Linked DNA regions of Macaca fascicularis. The protein of the gene in region 2 binds, or shares a complex with, the protein of the main gene of each other region. Links are inferred from orthologs where the notes say so. Each region holds a gene or a part of one and is shown on either strand. Other genes may lie near its edges.

Region 1 (4,043 bases), on a different chromosome or scaffold from region 2:
GGAACATGTTTCTTAAGGCATCATCACTCTTCCAGGCTTTAGAGTTCTAGCTAGAGAAGTATTTCTTTTATTACCTATTTCTAGTCATTAGCAAGATATACTGATTCCTCCTTTAAAATATCTTCTCCCAGCCAAGCACAGTAGCTCATACCTATAATCCCAGCACTTTGGGAGGCCAAGGCAGGAGGACTGATGGAGGCCAGGACTTCGAGACCAACCTGGGCAACATAGCAAGACCCCTGTCCCTATAAATTTTTTTTTTTTTAATGGCTGGGCGTGGTGGTGCTTGCCTATAGTTCTAGTTACTTGGGATGCTGAGGTGGGAGGATCGCTTGGGCCCAGGAGTTCAAGACTGCAATGAGATGTGATCACACTACTGCACTTCAGCCTGAGTGACAGCAAGACTCTGTCCTAAAAAAAAAAAAAAAAAAAGGGCCGGGCGCGGTGGCTCATGCCTGTAATCCCAGCACTTTGGGAGGCTGAGGTGGGCAGATCACAAGGTCAGGAGTTCGAGACCAGCCTGGCCAACATGGCAAAACCCCATCTCTACTAAAAATACAAAAATTAGCCGGGTGTGGTGGCATACGCCTGTAATCCTAGCTACTCAGGAGGCTTAGGCGGGAGAATCGCTTGAACCTGGGAGGCGGAGGTTGCCCTGAGCTGAGATCATGCCACTGCACTCCAGCCTGGGCCACAGAGCGAGACTCTGTCTCAAAAAACAACAAAAACAAAAACAAAACTCTTCTCTCCTTGCTCCTTCTTACTGCCACTTGCCCAGTCTCATCTCTTTTTTTTTTTTTTTTTTTTTGAGACGGAGTCTTGCTCTGTCACCCAGGCTGGAGTGCAGTGGTGCAATCTTGGCTAACTGCAACCTCCGCCTTTCTGGTTCACGCCATTCTCCCGCCTCAGCCTCCCGAGTAGCTGGCGCCCACCACCACGCCTGGCCAATTTTGTTTTTGTATTTTTAACAGAGACAGGGTTTCACCGTGTTGGCCAGGATGGTCTAGCTCTCCTGACCTCGTGATCCACTCGCCTTGGCCTCCCAAAATGCTGGGATTACTAAAGACCTGAGCCACCTATGCCTGGCCCAGTCTAATCTCTTAATGATGCCTCCTTCTGCCCATCTTCACATCACTAACAACAATATTGCTCAACCACCTCACTGGGTCTTGTTTCTGTTTAAAAAACCTTTCAAGCTGTATTACCTCCAAGAAGAATAAGTTCAAGTGTGTTAACCTGGCCTTGAAGATCCTTCACAATCAGATCCTCCCTGACCATATCTTCCTCTTCCCTCAAATCTTCCCAAATCTTTTCAGCACAGACTTACCATCAGTTTAGAAAGGTCAGTGCCACACACCTGCAAATATGTCCACCTCCCCACTGTAAATACTCTCCTTTAAGCTGGGCTGAATTCCTACCTCCAGGGAAGTTAGTTACCTTGTCATAACATGTTGAATTTTTAATATCCTGGATTCCTTCAATAGTCTTTTACCACCTGTATTGTTTTCAACACTTAACCTTAAGCTTTGTCTCTAGCTAAATCAAAAACATCTAGAGACCTAACACTATACAGTACTATGGAACAAAATACAAATGACTCTTTAAGAAATATCAAATAAAGGCCAGGGATGTTGGCTCACGCCTGTAATCCCAGCACTTTGGGAGGCTGAGGCAGGTGGATCACCTGAGGTCAGGAGTTTGAGACCAGCCTGGCTAACACGGTGAAACCCCGTTTCTACTAAAAATACAAAAAATTAGCCGAGCGTGGTGGCACATGCCTGTAATCCCAGCTACTCTGGAGGCTGAGGCAGGACAATCGCTTGAACCCCGGAGGCGGAGGTTGCAGTGAGCGGAGATCGCACCACTGCACTCCAGCTTGGGCAACAAGAATGAAACTCAGTTTCAAAAAGTGTAAATAAATAAATAAATAAATAAACCGCAACCGTTAGGAGACTAAGATTCCACAGACTGATTACTGAAAGTAATTGCAAAAACTGCAAATACTTTTGTACCAACCTAATAGATGCCAGACCGCAAACCAGGTAAAAGTCGAGAAAAGAAGGGCCAATATTAGAAGGGGTTACCGGGCTGTGTGCACTAAGGGACCCCCTCCCTTTTCCAGAACGCACCGCCAGCACTGCACCTTCACTCAGTACCAGGTAGCCGAGCTGGTCTGGGATTCGCTCCAGCCCCTGGGTCAGTGCAGAAGTCTAGTGGGTAAAGATGCAAGTAGTGAGAAGCATGCTAGAGGGATGGATGGCCCCTGATACCCTTCACCTACAAACCCAAGTCTCTTGATTGGCGATGGCCCCAGGTTTTCTCATTCCCCAGCCAGGTCCTTTCCCGGCTCCCTTCCCCCTACATGGTCCTCAATACTGATCTTCCCGAGCCTCCATCTGCCCCCACTCTCGGCCCCCGGGCTCCCCTGGCCTTCCACGCTCCACCTATGCTACTCCGAGGGGACTTCGCTGCCCCACTGGCCCCTGCCCCCAGACCCTCTCTCCACCTCCCCGCCCCTGACCTGCAGACTACCCGCAGCCCCAGAACACCCTCCCACAGACCCCTCCCCAGCATTCCCGTCGCCATCCCTCCCATCTCCATCCCGTCTTCCTCCCCGAGCGGATAGGAGGTGAGGGTGGAGCGCAGACCCACGAGGGGGAAACCACACAGATTGGGGAGCAGAGACGCGGAACCCCCGGCGGGTCCTCCCGCGCATGCGTCCTCACTCACCATCGCAGTCTTCGGTGCTGGTGGAGCTCCCTACCAGATAGGTAGCTTCCGGCTTCAGGCCCCGGTCACGTGCTCGCACCCGGCGCGCTCCTCCTTCTGCTTGCTTCCCTACCCTTTAGCCGCGCCTCTAGCATGAGGATTGGATCGTGGCCACGTCGTCAGACCCAACCAGCCAGTGCGAAGCGCTCCTTCCCGGAGGCGCACGTTGATTGGTGATATCCCCTCTTTAACACCCATCTCTCCGCCTCTCAGTCAGTGCCTGAGCGAGAGGAGGCGGGAGTGCTTCCGCGGAGGGGACGGTGTGGGAGGGCCAGGAGTGGGACAGGGTTGACCGTGTGGCTCCGCGCGCGCTTTCTAGAGTCTGGGTTCCGCCTGAACCAGGATGCCCGCCAGTGTGACCTCCCAAACGAATGCCTTCCCAGGTTTAAGACTGGACCCAAAAAACGTGATAATAAAAGGAAATAACGTGCAATGCATGTAAAAAGCTATTCAAGGCTGGGCGCCCAACCTTCAAATGCTACTTTTATGCCTACTCAAGACCGCTCTTTGTTGAAGACAAGAATTTGTTCCCTTGGCCGGGCGCGGTGGCTCACAACTGTAATCCCAGAACTTTGGGAGGCCGAGGCGGGCGGATCACGAGGTCAGAAGATGGAAACCATCCTGGCTAACACAGTGAAACCCTGTCCCTACTAAAAAATACAAAAAATTAGCTAGGCGTGGTGGCGGGCGCCTGTAGTTCCAGCTATTCGGGAGGCTGAGGCAGGAGAATGGCGCGAACCTGGGAGGTGGAGCTTGCAGTGAGTCGAGATGACGCCACTGCACTCCAGCCTGGGAGACAGCGAGACTACATCTCAAAAAAAAAAAAAAAAAAAAAAAAAAAGATTTTGTTCCCAAAGTGGTTTTTTGTCTTCAGATTCAGTCTGGGACAATGTGATGGTGAATAGAATCACCAGCTAGCCAATGCAGATACAATACTGAATATTCTCTGCAGGAAAAAATTAGAAACAGTACCTTGGAATGATACACACACACACACATACATACATACATACATACATACATCACACAATGTAAACATTGGAAATTTTTGTTTTAAATAATTTCTAGACCTGTTGCCGTATTAATGTGGTGGAGGCAGTGTTAGTGAGTAATATGAAGAGTGATTCTAGAAGCCTGGGCAACATAGCAAGACCCCATCTCTAAAAATTTAAAAATTAACCAGGCATGATACCGCACATGTAGTCCCAGCTACCGGGGAGGCTGAGGTGGGAGAATTGCTTGAGCCCAGGAGTTTGAAGCTGCAGTGAGCCATG
Region 2 (4,128 bases):
CCATAGGCCTGGCAGTTTCCTTCTCAAGCAGGAGAGGGAAACCAGAGGCAATGTTGACAAGCCACTTCCCAGCATTCAGCACCAACATGGGCTATTCTTTTTTATTTTTTATTTTTGTGGCAGGGTCTCATTCTGTTGCCTAGGCTACAGTACAGTGCTGTAATCTCGGATCACTGCCACCTACGCCTCCCAGGTTCAAGCGATTCTCCTGCCTCAGCTTCCCGAGTAGCTGGAATTAGAGCCACGCGCCACCAGGCCCAGCCAATTTTTGTATTTTTAGTAGAGATGGGGTTTCGCCATGTTGGCCAGGCTGGTCTTGAACTCCTGACCTCAGGTAATTCTCCCGCCTCAGCCTCCCAAAGTGCTGGGATTACAGGCGTGAGCCACCATGTCAGGTCAAAACATAGGCTACTCTTATTCGTTTTTCCTTTTAATGAAAAGCACTCGCTAGGCTCGGTGGTTTAAGCCTGTAATCCAAGCACTTTGGGAGGCCAATGGGGGGATCACCTGAGGTCAGGAGTTCGTGACCAGCCAGGTCAACATGGTGAAACCCTGTATCTACTAAAAATACAAAAATTGCCGGGTGCGGCGGCTCATGCTTGTAAACCCAGCATTTTGGGAGGCCAAGGCAGGCAGACCATGAGGTCAGGAGTTCGAGACCAGCCTGGCCAACATGCTGAAACCCCATCTCTACTAGAAATACAGAAATTTGCCAGGCATGGTGGTGGGTGCCTGTAATCCCAGCTACTTGGGAGGCTGAGGTAGGAGAACTGCTTGAACCTGGGAGACGGAGGTTGTAGTGAGCCAAGATCGCACCACTGCACTCCAGCCTGGGCAACAAGAGCAAAACTCCATTTCAAAAAATACAAAATACAAAATATAAAAATTAGCCAGGCCTTGTGGCGCATGCCTATAGTGCCAGTTACTCAGGAGGCTGAGGCAGGAGAATCGCTTGAACTTGGAAGCAGAGGTGGCAGTGAGCCGAGATCGCACCACCGCACTCCAGCCTGCGTGACAGAGTGAGATTCTGTCTCAAAAAAAAAAAAAGAAAAAGAAAAAAGCACTTGTCAGACAAGAGCTCCGACTCTGACTCCATGGATCACGCACGCCAGAGACCCAGGCAGCCCCTGAAAGAGAGGGAGATGCCCTAGAGAACATTTAGCTTTGCGGTCACTGGGGCCTACCCTCACCAGCCAGGTGACACCAAATGTTACTAGACCTCTCTGAATACCACCCAAGAGCTGAGAAACAGACGCCTCTCAAGATTTGCATTACACATGGAATCAGAATTCTGGGCAGCGTGAGGTCATTCTTTACTCACTGGTCAATCCCAATCTCTAGGAGGTGTTTGCTTAAGAAAACAAACTGATTTGAATATGTCTCACGAGTCTGTTTCCAGCAAGCTTTCCAGAACCCACAGGGGAAGCCGAAATCCCCTGGGTGACAGTCTCTTCATCATCACACCCAAAGACAGTATTCAAATTCCCTGATGTGGTAGAGTGTCTGTCCATGTCCTCCTCCCACAATAGCTGAGTCCCAGACCTGGACAGTGACCTCACCACCACCCGTGGTGCGCCCTGACCCTGGCCCATTTCACCCCTACTTCCTATGCTCTTCTCATAGCACCGCGGAGAATTAGAGGCCACTAAGTAAGGGCACTGTAGATAAACAAGGCACTATAACGGATCTTAACCAGCAGTGGACACACAGCTTCTAAAACTAGTCTCCCACTGGGGAGCCTCATTAAGTCAGCAGCTGGGATCCCAACAAGCCCAGGGTGAAAAGTTCTGCAGGGGATGACTGCCAGCTCAGACCCACTCTCACTGTGGCTCTATTTCCACCGTTTCCCTGGATTTCCATTCACAGAGCTCCCTGACATAGGACACTAGAAGGGCAAACAGTGTCACCTGCCACTATTACTCAATTACTTGATGACCACGGTGATAATCTGGCACTAAACTGGTTGTGGCCAAAGCCTGGAGAGCCAGAACCTACTTCCAGCAAGTTCCTCCTTGCCCTGCGTCCCCATTTGAAGAGACTGCTGCTAACCACACCTTGGACGTCAATCCACAAGCCAATCCATTCTTTCCAGGTGACAAGGACGCATCTGACAGTACTCTCCACTGGAGAGAAGCGCGGTCTTCCACCCTCCCTGGAGGACACGGTGCTACCCTATTAGCTTATCAGAGGACCCTCCTGAACGCCAAACTGAGAGAAGAGGAAATCACACACCCTCTCCTCCAGAACGAAGACAAAACCTGGGAGAAGGAAAAGGAAACAGTCCCGTTTCATGGCAAGATCAAATGAGACTAAATCAACGACCCTAACCCGGGGTTTGAACCCAGGTCACAGTCCTCATCCCCAGAAACTTGGTTAATGGGCGTGCCCCCAACCTATCTTCAAATCTCAGGGTCTCGGCGACGCCCTGGACTCTGGCCCTAAACCCTCCCCCATTACTGGTCCACCTGGGACCAACGCAAACTCGGACATGCCCCTCCGCCAAACCCTCAGACCCCCGCCGACCTGCTCCCCGAATCGAGGCCCGCGGGACACCTGGACTCGGCAGCCGGGGTCCCGCTCCGGGTCTCAGCCCCGCCCCTGACTGCGCTGGGTAGGTGGTCGCTGCGGGTCCCAGACAGGCGGGATCACACACAGAGCCCCCGAGCCCACGGCCGGAACGTCAGCCGGGGTGGCGAGGCTCTCAAGCCCCGGTTCGGGCTCTCGGGGAGCTGGCAGAACCAAGAGTTACCACACTCACTCGCGGCCCCACATCCCCGCCGAGACCCTGGCGCGTGACTCTCTGGGCCGTAACACCACCCAGCCCTGCGGTGGGGGTGCAGGCGCCGTCCGAGCGCGTCCTCCACCGCGAGGAGAGCCGAGCCTCGCCAGCTCCCGCAAGCCCAGGAACACAGTCCGAGTACCGCAACTCCGAGGTCTGACGGGGAAGCAGGGGCCGCTGCCCGACAACTACCCTTTTCCGCCGCCCCTATTCCGGTGCCCCCCTCGGGGAAGTTCCCAATGGTTCAGACCGCACCGGCTGGGGATGCTGGGGGAAACCATTTCCTTAAGCGCGGGAGTATGCTGAAACTTAAAAAGCATTTCGAAAAGAGATTTGAGGGTAAATATAATCAACGTAAGGCTCCCTGTCCACATAAAAGAGAAAAATAAAGAAAAAACGTTATAAGGGGTTGTCAGGCCTTTTTTTTTTTTTTTGCTTCACCAATGGTTTTTATTACATTGCTGATGGAACCCGGCCTCTCCCTATATTGAGAGTATGGAAGGTGCGGGCGACAGCCGTCACGTGATGCGGGGAAGGCGCGGCGCCCGGGGGAGGTTGGTTGCGGAACTCGGGATCGGTGTGCGCGCGCATGTTTGGTATTCGGTCTTCCTCCCTCAGTACGTCTTTCTTAAAAATGTGAAAATCAGTTATTGAATAATATTCTTCTTTTGAGACGGAGTTTCGCTCTTGTTGCCTAGGCTGGAGTGCAGCGGGGCGACCTCGCCTCACTGCAACCTCCGCCTCCCGGGTTCAAGCGATTCTCCTGCTTCAGCCTCCCGAGTAGCTGGCGTTACAGGCGTCCGCCACCATGCCCGGCTAATTTTTTTGTATTTTTTGCAGAGACGAGGTTTCACCCTGTTGGCCAGGCTGGTCTTGAACCCCTCACCTCAGGTGATCCACCCGCCTCGGCCTCCCAAAGTGCTGGGATTGCAGGCTTAAGCCACCACGCCCGGCCTGAATAATATTTTTTAAAACTTGAGCGCCTATTACTAAATTTATCTACTTAGAAGTTAATTGGAAAGACATTAGTTCGTGATGTAGTGTGGGTCGTTCCAGCGAAGACCGGAGGGAGATGGGAATCGGAGCCTGACCCGCCTGCGCGCGCTGTCCCCTGGGATGCGGCCGCCTGGGAGCCTTCCACCGCGGCAGAGGCTGTGGTTGCCACAAGGTCTCCAGAGTGTGCTTACCAGGAATACAGTAGAAAAATGGGTGGTTGTGTTTTTGAAATCACAGAGGTCACTTTTTTTCCTTTTAAATTTCCTTGTTTTGGCCGGGAGCGGTGGCTCACGCCTGTAATCCCAACACTTTGGGAGGCCGAGGTGTGCGGGTCACGAGGTCAACACGAGGTC
Region 3 (4,170 bases), on a different chromosome or scaffold from region 2:
CTGAGCAACAAGTGAGACCCTATCTCAAAAAAAAAAAAAAAAAAAAGTAAATTTTATATGGTTTTTACAATAAAAATTTTTAATTAAAAAACGGTATCAATATTGAAGATATTGTGAAGAAACGGTAATCTTCATGCATTGCTACTGAGAACACAAAATGGTAAAACTATTTTGGAAAAGTTTGACAATTTTTTATGTTAAACACAACACTTAGCATATGACTCTGCAACTCTACTCCTAGGTATCTACCCAAGAGAAATGAAAATATATGTCCACATAAAGACTTATACACAAACATTAACAGCAGCATTATTTATAATAGCCCAAATCTGGGAAAAAAAAACAAACCAAATGTCCTCCAACTAGTGAGTGAATAAACAAATCATGGTATAGCCATACAATGGAATACCATTCAGTGATAAAATTGAATTAACTAGCTGGGTGTGGTAGCTCATCCCTGTAAGGCCAGAACTCTGGGAGGCCAAGGTGAGAGGATCCCTTGAGCCTAGGAGATTGACGGTGCTTTAGGCGAGGTCGTGCCACCACACTCCAGCCTGTTGACAGAGACCCTGTCTCAAAAAAAAAAAAAAAAAAGAGGGAACTAATAAAAGCAACAAACAAGCCAGACACAAGATTATGACAGAAAGTATCAGTGACTGCCCTGGGTGAGGAGGGGTTAGGCTGCAACAGAGCATGAGGGAACTTTTTGGGTAATGGAAGTGTTCTAAAACTTCATAGAGGTGGTGGGTATACAACTGTATACAATGTATGCTTAAAATGTATTATACTTTATTGTGTATAAATTATAGCTCAATGAAATAGTTTTTTAAAAACCCTGGGTTGATTAGATCTGTAAGTTACTAGCTATGTGACATTAACCAGAATGGTTTTTTTTCCTTCAGATATGCCTATTCTGTTTCATCAGTTTTCATTGCTCACAATCACACATTTTATTTTTAAAGTGAACAATTCTATAATGTACTGCAGTTATTGGGCTTACAGATAATTCTTACTTCCACTGGCAGAAATATATACTTATCTGCACTGCTACTTGCTCTATCTCGTAAGATTGTTGTGAAACATCAAATAAGATAACTGATGAGAAAGTTCTTTGGTAACTGTAAAATAGTATTACGCAACTATATAGTAGACTTTACATTTTTGAAAAACAGACGTGAAAATGTTTTTTCATATGAGCGACTTGAGACCCTTGTAAACCTAGGTACCCAAAGTCAATCTTTGCCCAGAAATAGAAAGCAGTTGTCTATTCAAATGCCACCTTTGAAATATCCTATCGAAACCTGTTTCCTACTGTCGCTTGAGTTAGTAGATGGCTCAATGTAGTATCATCTAAGCTGCACTTTCATTTTTCAAAGGAAAAACACTAAAGAAATGTTTAGAGAGAGACAGATGAGCATGACACATTTATTTTTCAGGGGAAAAGAGAGATACGTAGAAAAATGTCTTCAATTCCATATGCATTTACTGAATGTTTCCTGATGAGATCTGCATTAGCAAGAGAGAGTGAATAATTTTAAGAATAGCAAAATTTCTTAAACCAGTGTGGCACAATCATTTCAACTTTGCCTGTTCCAAAATTTGACAGATTCTCTCTTTTTTTGTTGTTTCTACTACTGTTGTACAACTGGGCTCTTTGCTATCCTACCAAGTTTGTGTGGTATTTGACATTTAGCCTAGTTATATTTGCAAGTTTCCACACTGCAATATTTACAAAGGCTGTTTGGACATAATCTCCTCAGGTTTAACGACTAAATTTCACCTTGAATTCAGGTTTATATCAAATCTTACAATTCTGAAAAGCTACTCTGCCAGCAACAGGTACTACAACGAAAAATCAACAAAGCCTGTACCACCACAAAATGCTCTGCTAACATTTTCAATTTTTAAGACTCCTTTTCAGTAACAGTTCTAAAGAGGAAGAATCTACGGCCAATTCCAAGGCCAGATTTCATTTAATGTTGTCTTGCTTCAGTAGTAACTCTAAACTCAAGTTTCACATTTCTCCTTCGATAACATTAAGGTCGCTCGGTCCGGTTACCGCACACCTCCAATTTTAGCGTCCAAGAAACCTGAAAGAACGGCACCTTGCCTACTTGCTCCTCCAGCCTTCTCTCAACTCAGAAGCTTGGCCAAACGTGCCGCTCTCTCCACAACGCCAACGGAGCTGGAACGCAGCGCCCGGAGGACAACTGGTCACGGGGAGGAGGGGAGAACTTCGCCGCCCGGAGTACGGCGGCTGAGGTCCAATCCAGCCCGCGCCCAACTCTACTCGGTGCCAGGAAGGCGTGTGGACCCGAAGTCTCAGGCCGCGGTGCTAGATCCGGAGGAGCAGAGTCGCGCGTGGCTGGGGTCAGGTAGTAAACAAACCGACGGGAGAAGGGGGAAGGGGCAACGGCGAGGCGGGTGGGGTAAGAGAAGAGGTAGGACCTCGCTCCAACCCTTCAGCGCGAGCCAGCAGCCGGCTCCACCCCACCGAGGACCAGATGCTGGTCTCGGCGCGGCGCTTCCGCTTGGGTCGGAAAACCGAAGGCCCCAACACCCCTGGAGCCCAGAGTCCACAAGGCCATCGGCTCCGCGACCCCCGCCCCACAGCGCCCTACCTGAACCCGCAATCTGGATCCCGGGCGTCGCGGCCGGGCGCGCCCAGCCCGGTCTTCTTGCTGAAGAGCTTCTGGAACAGCGTAGGGGCCATGCTCCCCACGGCCAGGCAGGGGTCGCTCCGCTGGGCGCTTGGTAGGCCCCTGCTCCTAGAGCCGCCCCGCCACCCCCATGGGCGCCTCAGTCATATGACAGAAATTAGTCACTTCAAACGGCCACGGCGCGCGGGGCGGGGCGCGAGGCAAGGCCGGCGCTCATTGGCTGGAGGTGGGCCGCATCACGTGGCGGCGCGCGGAGCAGGGGCAAGGCGGGGGCGTGGGGTGGAGCTACCTCCATTAGGCGCACTGGCGTTTCCCGTCACGTGGCAGCTCACGGGGCGGGGCGTGTGCCGAGAGGACAAGACTGGAAGGTGGCTAGGGATGTGTAGGGGGAGTAGGCTCAGTCTCGATCCTCCTCTGTGAGGCTGTCGGCTACCATCAGAGGCTGCGCCAGGGTGGCGCGGGGACGATGCCAGGAGCCTTGGAGTGCAGAAGCCTTCGACTCCCCGCACCCACAGAGTTGCGTAGGGAACCATGGGCAACCTATTCTCCCTTGTCAGCCCCTCCTTAGCTTCTGCGGCTTCACACCTCCATTCCGCGCCGGGGAGAGTCTGGCGGCCCCTGGAGCACGGAAGGCGCACGAGCGTACCCGTGGGGCCTCGGCCAAGGCTGGACTTTGAGCCCAGGACCCCAGGCCCGCCCTTAGAAGGCCGCTCCGGCCCGCGAGAGGTCTGGGATCTGGACAGCGCGGGGGCTGGCTCACAGGGACTGGTGGAGGAACCTGCCGGGACCCCTGCCACAGCCATGGCTCCCCGCAAAGACGACCTCGGGCAGGGACTGCGGGCAGAGTTTGTACTAGTGCCTCAAACCCTGACATCAGGAATTAGTCTCGTGGAAGAGCTAGCGATTGGAGGCTCAGGAGTTAGGCTGTTTCCTTGGTAACCAACAAAATCAGGTGAAACCAACGAAGTCAGGAAGCCTAAAGACATGTATGTACAGATATCTAAACTTTTACGCTAATTATTTAGATTTTTAATCTATCTTAATGGTTAGGTGTGAAGAAGGGAGGAACTGTGGAATTTTAACCAAGTTACAGGGAAGAAACGCTTTCTAAAAAAAGAAAAACGTTGCTCACATGTGACCTCACAGTCTTATTTAACCCATGGAACCAAAATATACCAGAGTTTGGAGCAAACTAATCTTATAAATTTTCAGCACCCCCATCCATTCACTCACTCCCCCTCCAGGATAACGAAGCTTGTACAATGGGATGCAATCCTCAGAGAAATTTAGGAAATAACTTGTATATGGTTGGAAGGCTGGATAAAAATACTTTGGGCAGGCGTGGTAGCTCACGTCTGTAATCCCAATACTGCAAGGCAGAGGCAAGCAGATCGCTTGAGCTCAGTAGTTCCAGACCAGCTTGGTCAACAGTAAGACCCCATCTCTACAAAAAAATTTTTTTAATTAGCCAGGTGTGGCCGGGCGCTGTGGCTCACGCCTGTAATCCCAG
Region 4 (4,183 bases), on a different chromosome or scaffold from region 2:
GGTGAGAGAATCAATATAGGGGCCAGATCCCCATAAGAACGATATATAAACCATGATGCTGATATTGAACTTTATCCTAAGTCAATAAAGTTGATTTTCAAGAAAGGAGTTAAATGATCCGATTTGGGTTTTTAGAACATCATTTTTGTTGCTCTATGGAGACTGGAGGGCAAAAGAGAATGTAAGAAGAATAGGAGGTTATTGTCAAGAGAGAGATGATCATGGCTTGCACTAGGGTACGAACATAGATAGGTGACTAGTTTTCAAAGATAGGAGGTAGAATCAACAGAACTCTGATTAGATTTGTGACATGCAAGCAGCAATTAAAAACCAGGCTAAAATTTTCTGAAAATTTGGCTATGAAAGGGAGTAGAGGAAAAACAGGGTGGTAGCTGAAAGAGGATGTGATTTCTAAAGAAGCTTTTCTTTTGAGCATCTCGCTCTGTCACTCAAGCTGGAGTTCAGTGGGGCGATCACCACTCAATGCAGCCTCAAACCCTGGGCTGAAGGGATCCTCATGCCTCAGCTTCCGGAGTACCTGGCGCACGCCACGTAAGGCTAATTCTTTATTGTTGTTATTATTATTAGTAGTAGTAGTAGTAGTAGAGATGGGGTTCTATCTTGCCAGGCTGGTGTGGAACTCCTGGGCTCAAAGGATCGTCCCGCCTCGGACTCCCAAAGTGCTGGGATTACAGGCGTCAGTCACCGCACCCGGCAAGGCTTTTTTTTTTTTTTTTTTTTTTTTTTTCCAATTATTATTTATTATATGAGACCTTACTAATTTTTTAAAATTCTGATGTAAAAGGGAACATAGAAAGTACCCGTAATCCCGTGTCTGCATGTTAAAAGTAGACGCTTGAAGTGCTCCAGAAAACCCATGGCTCCTCCCCATTCAATCTAGATAAGGCCTTGAGTAAAGAGCACCCATGGGGAAGTCACAAGAACCTAGGAAACAAGTCAGAAACCTGTGGACCTGATACTTCCAATCACAGGCAATCTGTTGCTTGCTCTTCAGCTCATCACACCATCCCCTCAAATTTCTTCATCTACAAGAAAAGGTTTTAAGATAACGGACCCTGAAAAACTAATGACATTTATACACCCTCTCTGCACAAGAATGTCTTGTAACACATAACCTTGCTTGCATTTTCTGGGGTCCTCGGGGTCCAGCGATCTCGTACAAATCCTCTACCCCACAGCTGACGTCCCTCGGCCCGTGACACAAGGCGCAGGCGCAAGACGCGGCCCGCGGTGGGCGGGGGAGGGGCGGGGCGCGTCGGGCGGCCGCGCCCTCGAAGCTTCCGCCAGGCCCTTCCGGAAATCCAGTATCGTGGGGCGACGGCGTAGAAAGTGCTTCCCGGAGCGCCGAAGAGGTCATCAATCATGTGACGGTGGCTTGAGGAGGAACCTGTCTTTAAAGCTGTCCCTGAAGTGACAACGGAGAGAACCAGGCAACCCAGAAACCCCAGGTAACTGGCGCTACTTTGCCTGGTTTGAGGCCTAGTCCCGGAGGTGGCGCGGGTGGTGAGACTAAACAGAAGGAGAGGGCCCCCTCTTCTTTTCTTTGGGCCTAGCTCTTTGGGGTGGAGGGGCAGGGATGGGGTGGGCTGAGGCAAGGCGTGCCAGCTGAGTACCCGTGGGGGTGTTGGGGCACTCCGACTCCCACTGGGCTCGCTGGGCCAAGCCCTAGAACCGCGGGGGTTTTGCCGGGTTCTGACCAGGGCTGATCTTGCTTATTAAGTTGGGGGTGGGGAGGACGAGGAAGCCAAAGAGGTAAGAGTCACCGGGAGTTTCTCTTCCAGGCGTGGAGATTGATCCTGCGAGAGAAAGGGGTTCATCATGGCGGATGTGAGTGACACCCCCACATAAGAGGAAGGGAGAGTGGGGAATTTGGAGGGGAATACTGAGCGGGGAGAGGTAGAAGATCCTCCCATCCCCACCCATCCCAGTTAATTATTTTCTCTTGTATGTGAAATGGGAGACTAATATGAATGAATTTGCAGGATCCTGAGTTTCTGCCTCGAATGGGGGTGGAGGACACTAAGGTGCTTGAGACTGAGAAAATTATATTCTCCCTACTCACCAATCCAGCTGGGGTATAAGAGAGGCTCTGTGTATTTACCATTTGAAATTCTGAATGATGGTTCGCTGCTTTTCCTGTCAGAATTTGGTCAGTAGGACATGTACCCAGAATACTTTTTTCCAGTAAGTGGTAACAATATCTTATTAGGTTTATTGTGGCAATTTACGATGATTTCTAACCCATGCCTCTTTAGAAACATAACATGAAATAAAATGAGGGGTGTGTGTGTGTGTGTGTGTGTGTGTGTAGGATGAGAGCAAAAATAAGCCAATAGTCATAACATGAAATAAAATGATCATTCGGGTTTGGAGAATAGTAAGTGTTGGAGGCTCAAAACAACAGATATCTGATTAATCCATGCGAGGTCAAAATTGATACCTCAAGTGTCAGTGAAATTCCTGGGATGAGAGAGTGTAATGAGACAAAATAAGATAATCTTCTGGCCGGTGAGGTGGCTTCGTCTGTAATCTCAGCATTTTGGGATGCCGAGATGGAAGGATCACTTGAGGCTGGGAGTTCAAGATCAGCCTGGGCAACGTAGCAAGACCCCGTTATACAAAAAGAAATTTAAAAACCAGGCGCATTGATAACCCTGTAGTCCCAGCTATGCTGGAAGTGAGGCGGAAGGATTGCTTGAGCCCAGAACTTGGAAGTTGCAGTGAGCCCCAGCTTAGAAAAATAAAATAGTCTTATATTTCTTTAGTCTTAACTGTGTTTAGTGTTAAACACTTGACACACTTCGCCATTTATCTTATATTCTGTAAGTCTGGGCTGGGCGTGGTGGCTCACGTCTGTAATCCCAGCACTTTGGGAAGCCAAGGCGGGTGGATCACCTGAGGTCAGGAGTTCGAGACCAGCCTGGCCTACATGGTGAAACCATATCTCTACTAAAAATACAAAAAATAAGCTGGGACGTGGTGGTGGGTGCTTATAATGCCAGTTACTCGGAGGTTGAGGCAGGAGAATCGCTTGAACCTGGGAAGCAGAGGTTGCAGTGAGCCGAGATTGCGCCATTGCACTCCAGCCTGGACAGCAAGAGCAAAACTCCCTCTCAAAAACAAAAAAAAAGACTGTTGCCTCACATAGTCATATATAATTTATTTTAGGTCCTTAAACAGAATATTTTAATAATTATGTTATAATAATATGCCTTACACTGTTTCATTATTTGTTGAGTAGGTGAGTTCAACAAATAATGAAACAATGGAAGGCATATTTTTATAATGTGAGACAACAGTCTTACAGAAGTCATATCACCTTACCCAAGACCATTAAAATGATGGTGGAAAGTCTATCTTTGAACCTGGAAAGGTGTTTATAATGTCTTCTCAAGTGAACACAATAGCAACAGGATATAAAACACTAGTATGAAAATTATGATATATTTTTATGGCTAAAATGTATTTGTGTTTCCCATTTCTAGGTATGCTAATCCATGCAACTTCTCAAAAAACTTTAACAGCACTCTTATGATGTAGGTTCTATATTAGCCCTATTCAACAAATAATGAAATAGGCTTAGGGAAAAAAGGTTAGTTAACTTACTCCAAGTTGCATGACTAGTAAACATCCAAATCAGACAGAGAAAGATAAAACACAGCAAGAAAGGTTATGAATGATAACTGAACGTCCCTAAAATTTGGATAGGACAGGATCTAGAAAACAGTGGAAGGCCTATTATTATAACATGATTTTTTAATATTCTCTTTCAGGACCTAAAGCGATTCTTGTATAAAAAGTTACCAAGGTAAGAAATTTTTAATTTGTTACTGAATAAATTCTATATGCCATATGTTAATTTTATGAAGTATTTTGTCTGTGTATTTTCAATGTTTTGAAGTATCTCTGAGATTTCCTTTAATATGAATATTTTTTGCCAGCATCATGTCCTCTGGAAAATTTTCGTCACAACCGCTTTCCTCATTTATGTCAATAAGTTTGCCTTCACTGAGTTCTCTGTGTATCTAGAGGGATAGTGTCAGCATTCCCTTGGTCACCTGTTTCTTCTATAACTCTTTATTTGAAATTCACTTCCAGCATTATTACTTTTCATTTCTTTGCTGTATTTCATCTTTGTCGGCCAGTTTCCTCTTTTTATTAT
Region 5 (4,169 bases), on a different chromosome or scaffold from region 2:
AGCAAAAGACAGAAGCTGTGGGCTTTGCCCCATCACCTCTGTAAACTCCCAGACACCCTTCCTCCCTAAAACACAGGCTCAGCATTAAAGAGCTAAAAAGACAAAATGTTTGCCAAAGATAAAACTATGTATTTCTAAGGAAAGCTGGCTCCATAATGAGGCCCAAGTTAGCTTCCTATGTGTCTGTCCTTCTCCCAGCTCCACTTCAGACAGATCTTCCTGCAGGACAGGGTAGTCTCTTCCCTATCAGGGGTTCTTCAAGAAGAAGGCTGGCTGATCACTTCTCAGCCTTCAGCTAAGATCAAGGGAGGAACAAGGTTGTTTTCTTGAAACCTAGACTTAAAGAAGAGGCCATGCTACCCCCTTCAGAGTAGACAAGTATCACCCCACTCCCGAAGTGCGAGTGGAGCATGGGTTAGGTTTGTCACATCAAGGTTTGTCTCTGCGTCAGTGTAACCCAAGAGGCAGGGTTTCACTGTCTACCTTAGCACAGACATAGCACCCTGCCCATGACTGGCCACCTGGTCTAGGGGCATAGATGAGACTGCTTGGCCCCATGGATAAAGTACATGGCTTGGCATCAGAACACCCGGGCATTAGCACTTCCCAGCTTGGCCAAATCACTTAGCTTCTCTGAACTTTTTCCTCACCTTTAAATAGACATAACCCACACTAATATGACAGATGTCTGGCAAGAGTCAAATTAGATAACTATCACGGCCCTTTGTAAACTGTAATGTGTTGTACATTTTTTATTGTGATAAAGAGACAGAGATGAGAGTGGGAGAGGAGCCTGCCCAAGAACTGAAAGAGGGACTCTGGGAGGTGGATGGTTACGGCTCTTGCTACGTGAGGCCTCAAATCACCCAGCAGTGATTAAACATCTTCTCTGGGTGTTAGGAACAGAAAGGAGAGCCCACCAAGGAGAAGGTAGAGATTCAGGAGAGCAGCAGGCCCAGCTCTCCCTTCCAAGTAGAAGCTGGTATCCTTTCTCATAAGGCATTAATCCTTCTTGACTCATTCCCTGCAAGAGTCCACATTATGCTTTAAGGGACAATTTCCCACTAGGCCACAGCTCTCCCAGTAGGCAGGGTTATTGTTGTCTCTTTCTCAAAAAGGTGGAGGTGAAGTGAGAGGTATTAGGCATGACACATGCCTAACACAGAGCAAAGGAAATATGTGTTCATTGGGTGTATGAAGAATTGAGAACCAGAAGCGACCCTTGCTTCCCATAAAAATGACATTTTCTTTTTTTTTTTTTTTTGAGACGGAGTCTCACTGTCTCCCAGGCTGGAGTGCAGTGGCCGGATCTCAGCTCACTGCAAGCTCTGCCTCCCGGGTCCACGCCATTCTCCTGCCTCAGCCTCCCGAGTAGCTGGGACTACAGGCGCCCGCCACCTCACCCAGCTAGTTTTTTTTTGCCTGTTTTAGTAGAGACGGGGTTTCACCGTGTTAGCCAGGATGGTCTCGATCTCCTGACCTCATGATCCACCCGTCTCGGCCTCCCAAAGTGCTGGGATTACAGGCTTGAGCCACCGCGCCCGGCCACAAATGACATTTTCCTAAGCTTAAGCCCTTAATCCAAAATACGTTCACTGAAGAAATAACTACTTCCCAAGTACCAGTGATATAATCTATTTTTGTGACCATCTCCCCTATTAGACTGTGAGCTACTTGAAACCTTTCTACTTTCTCAGGTCTACTATATGTTCAAATGTAGAATCCAGGGTTAGAGACGATCAAAAAAGAGTGGACAGCAACTTGTGACTTCATCCTTGAATGTCAGGCCAGGCGGGGCAGGGATTAGAATGTGGAGAGAAGTGAGAATGCACTAAGAGGAAGAGGGAGAATTTAAAACTGTACAGGTCTCCCCAGCCTAAGCCTTTCGTCAGAGGGATCAGATCTACAGCCAAATTCTCAGAACAGGCATGTCTCCAGCTAAAGGAACCCTCAGGCCCCAGGCAGACTGCACTGAGGCAAGCCAAACTCAGACCCAAATGAACTTCCCGCTCCATTTCTCTTTTACCACAATCTAGTCAAAGCTAAACCCTCTTTGTTGCTTCCCAGACAATTTCCCCCATGTCCCGATGTCCTCACTGTATCCATTAAATCCTTCATTGGCCAACTCAAAGGCCACCAACTTCCAGAATCGTCCTCTGGCCCTAAACTAGCAGCGACCTTCCTTCTGCAACCCCAGGGACTAAGACGATACATGAATTCCTGATTCATCGCAGGACAGCCTAACTCAGGGCCTCAGCTTACCCACCCCTGCAATGGATTCGCAAAGCCCACTAATACAGAGAAGACAGGAAGCTGGGAAGGGAGTATTTCCCGGGGACCTAGACTGAGGATCCTTGAATCTGGAAAGTTTTGAAGGTAGGAGCAAACGGAAGTGGTGGGAGCGAGCCGGACAGGCGGCTGCCTGTACACCCCGAGGCGGGGACCGCGTAGAAAGCTGGGGCTTTAACTGGGGTAGGAGTCCGGCTTGGCGTCTCCTGTGTAATCTGTCCCCTCCAGGCCTCCGTATTCATCGAGCCCTGCAGTCCTGGCCCGTTCTCCGCAGATTTCTTTCTGGGGCCCCAAGCCCCAGGGTCTTAGCCCTCATTCCCGAGCCCCGCCTGCCGCGGCCGCACCTGGTCCGAGTCCTCGTTCTCGCTGCTGTAGCAGCACCCCATGGCAGGGGTCAGGCCGGGCGCTCAGGCCGCGCCGAGGAGGGACGGCGTCCGTCAGGAGCCCTTCCGGTCACATGACCCGCAACTGCCTCCCGCAGGCAACCACCCGCCGCCACCCCCAGTATCCCTTCTCCCGGAGCCGCTGGGCCGCCTCAGGCAATACCCCGGCTTCCGGTCCCGCCCGCTAGCGCGTGATCGTTGTCAACCAATAGGAAGGCGTAACCGGACACGCAGGCAAGTGAAGCGAGGAAAGGGAGGGGCGGATCACATGACTTCATCTTTCCAGTCTCTAAACTGGCAGTAGTGGCCGTCGTGAATAGTGTTATGCGTTCTCGTGGCCACTAGGCCACTTCTCTGGGCCATTGAGCGAACTCGTACCAAATGCCCTTGTATGCCCTCGTGATATACTCTTCTAAATGCCATGCGAGGGGCGAGTGGGATCCAGGCCTGACGCTCCTAGATCGTACAGCCTGGGTGCACACACAGAGGATCCAGATGACCGGTACCCAGTAGGGGAACAGAGGGTGTATCGCCCAGCTGGGCTGGGGGTGAATACACGGAGGGTGTATTCTGCACCTGGGCTGGGGATCTGCGACTTACAGGAAGAAGGGACCTTATACTACCTTCACATGCTGACGCGGAGCGGAGATAAATCCTGGTGGAGGAGATAGAAGTCACCTCACTGACCTCTCTGCCTTCAGGCTTTTATCTTTAATTCTGCCTTTTTTTTAACAGGACCCATAGTAAATCTAACGCACAAAGCTGACCATCAGTTCTCTTTTCCTAAACGCCCCTCCTCCCCCATGTCTTCCCTTGGGCCCTGAACACAGGTCCAAGTCCGTCCAAAATTGTATAGTGATCCATTTGTTGTTCATGCGCGTGTGATTCCGCGTGTGTGAAATGCGCCCACCCTCAAATCTTGTTTTGGCACATTACCCATCTGACATATCAAAGTCACGCAGAGCCTGACACCTCTCTGCCACTGCATGTTCTGAGGTGAGGGGTGAGGGGGTGGAGGGGTGAGCAATCTGTTTCACTGGACATAGAGAAATGATGTTTCCTGATTGATCTACTGGACTTTGCACATGCAGCCTGGTCTGCCTACTGTCTTCGAGACTCAGTACAATGTCCTCCTGATTACCTTCTCTGACCCCATTCTCTGGACATGTCCAGCTCTCTATGCTTAATCCTCATCCAGTGTTAATTCATGCATCTATTAACAAATATTTGCTGAGCATCTACTATGTGCCACACACTGTTATATCTGGATATGCATCAGTTCACAAAACAGCCAAAGTCCCTGTAGTCGTGGAACATCCAATAGTGATCACACTATATTCTATGTTCCTGGGTCAGTCTCACCTACCAAACTTGGGAGTTCCTAGAGCACAATGACAGGTTCTGACTCTTACCTGTGGCCCAAGGCATGGCCTTGCTTACAAAAAACTTGCGTATCAATGAGTACATTACAGTCACCCCATCACCTTGGCTCACCCC

Evidence for each region.
Region 1: FLCN (region 2) and LAMTOR4 share a complex: the UniProt entries of both Homo sapiens proteins name them as parts of the lysosomal folliculin complex. The link is inferred for Macaca fascicularis from reciprocal best matches to the Homo sapiens genes FLCN and LAMTOR4.
Region 3: FLCN (region 2) and FNIP1 share a complex: the UniProt entries of both Homo sapiens proteins name them as parts of the lysosomal folliculin complex. The link is inferred for Macaca fascicularis from reciprocal best matches to the Homo sapiens genes FLCN and FNIP1.
Region 4: FLCN (region 2) and LAMTOR3 share a complex: the UniProt entries of both Homo sapiens proteins name them as parts of the lysosomal folliculin complex. The link is inferred for Macaca fascicularis from reciprocal best matches to the Homo sapiens genes FLCN and LAMTOR3.
Region 5: FLCN (region 2) and LAMTOR1 share a complex: the UniProt entries of both Homo sapiens proteins name them as parts of the lysosomal folliculin complex. The link is inferred for Macaca fascicularis from reciprocal best matches to the Homo sapiens genes FLCN and LAMTOR1.

The regions. Positions count from the first base shown.
Region 1 is NC_088377.1:48,815,806-48,819,848, reverse strand, and holds the start of LAMTOR4 (ragulator complex protein LAMTOR4), read right to left. Parts: upstream 2,808-4,043; 5' UTR 2,734-2,807; coding exon 2,731-2,733; intron 2,211-2,730; coding exon 2,130-2,210; intron 1-2,129. UniProt on the Homo sapiens protein: As part of the Ragulator complex it is involved in amino acid sensing and activation of mTORC1, a signaling complex promoting cell growth in response to growth factors, energy levels, and amino acids.
Region 2 is NC_088390.1:17,332,812-17,336,939, forward strand, and holds the start of FLCN (folliculin), read right to left. Parts: upstream 2,803-4,128; 5' UTR 2,759-2,802; exon of another isoform or gene 2,524-2,758; intron 2,259-2,523; exon of another isoform or gene 2,055-2,258; intron 1-2,054. UniProt on the Homo sapiens protein: Multi-functional protein, involved in both the cellular response to amino acid availability and in the regulation of glycolysis.
Region 3 is NC_088380.1:138,333,926-138,338,095, forward strand, and holds the start of FNIP1 (folliculin-interacting protein 1), read right to left. Parts: upstream 2,810-4,170; 5' UTR 2,714-2,809; coding exon 2,622-2,713; intron 2,376-2,621; exon of another isoform or gene 2,246-2,375; intron 2,240-2,245; exon of another isoform or gene 2,106-2,239; intron 1,507-2,105; exon of another isoform or gene 1,396-1,506; intron 1-1,395. UniProt on the Homo sapiens protein: Binding partner of the GTPase-activating protein FLCN: involved in the cellular response to amino acid availability by regulating the non-canonical mTORC1 signaling cascade controlling the MiT/TFE factors TFEB and TFE3.
Region 4 is NC_088379.1:105,533,766-105,537,948, reverse strand, and holds the start of LAMTOR3 (ragulator complex protein LAMTOR3), read left to right. Parts: upstream 1-1,379; 5' UTR 1,380-1,524; intron 1,525-1,802; 5' UTR 1,803-1,839; coding exon of another isoform or gene 1,840-1,848; intron 1,849-2,164; 5' UTR 2,165-2,181; coding exon 2,182-2,205; intron 2,206-3,794; coding exon 3,795-3,829; intron 3,830-4,183. UniProt on the Homo sapiens protein: As part of the Ragulator complex it is involved in amino acid sensing and activation of mTORC1, a signaling complex promoting cell growth in response to growth factors, energy levels, and amino acids.
Region 5 is NC_088388.1:70,863,871-70,868,039, forward strand, and holds the start of LAMTOR1 (ragulator complex protein LAMTOR1), read right to left. Parts: upstream 2,805-4,169; 5' UTR 2,676-2,804; coding exon 2,634-2,675; intron 1-2,633. UniProt on the Homo sapiens protein: Key component of the Ragulator complex, a multiprotein complex involved in amino acid sensing and activation of mTORC1, a signaling complex promoting cell growth in response to growth factors, energy levels, and amino acids.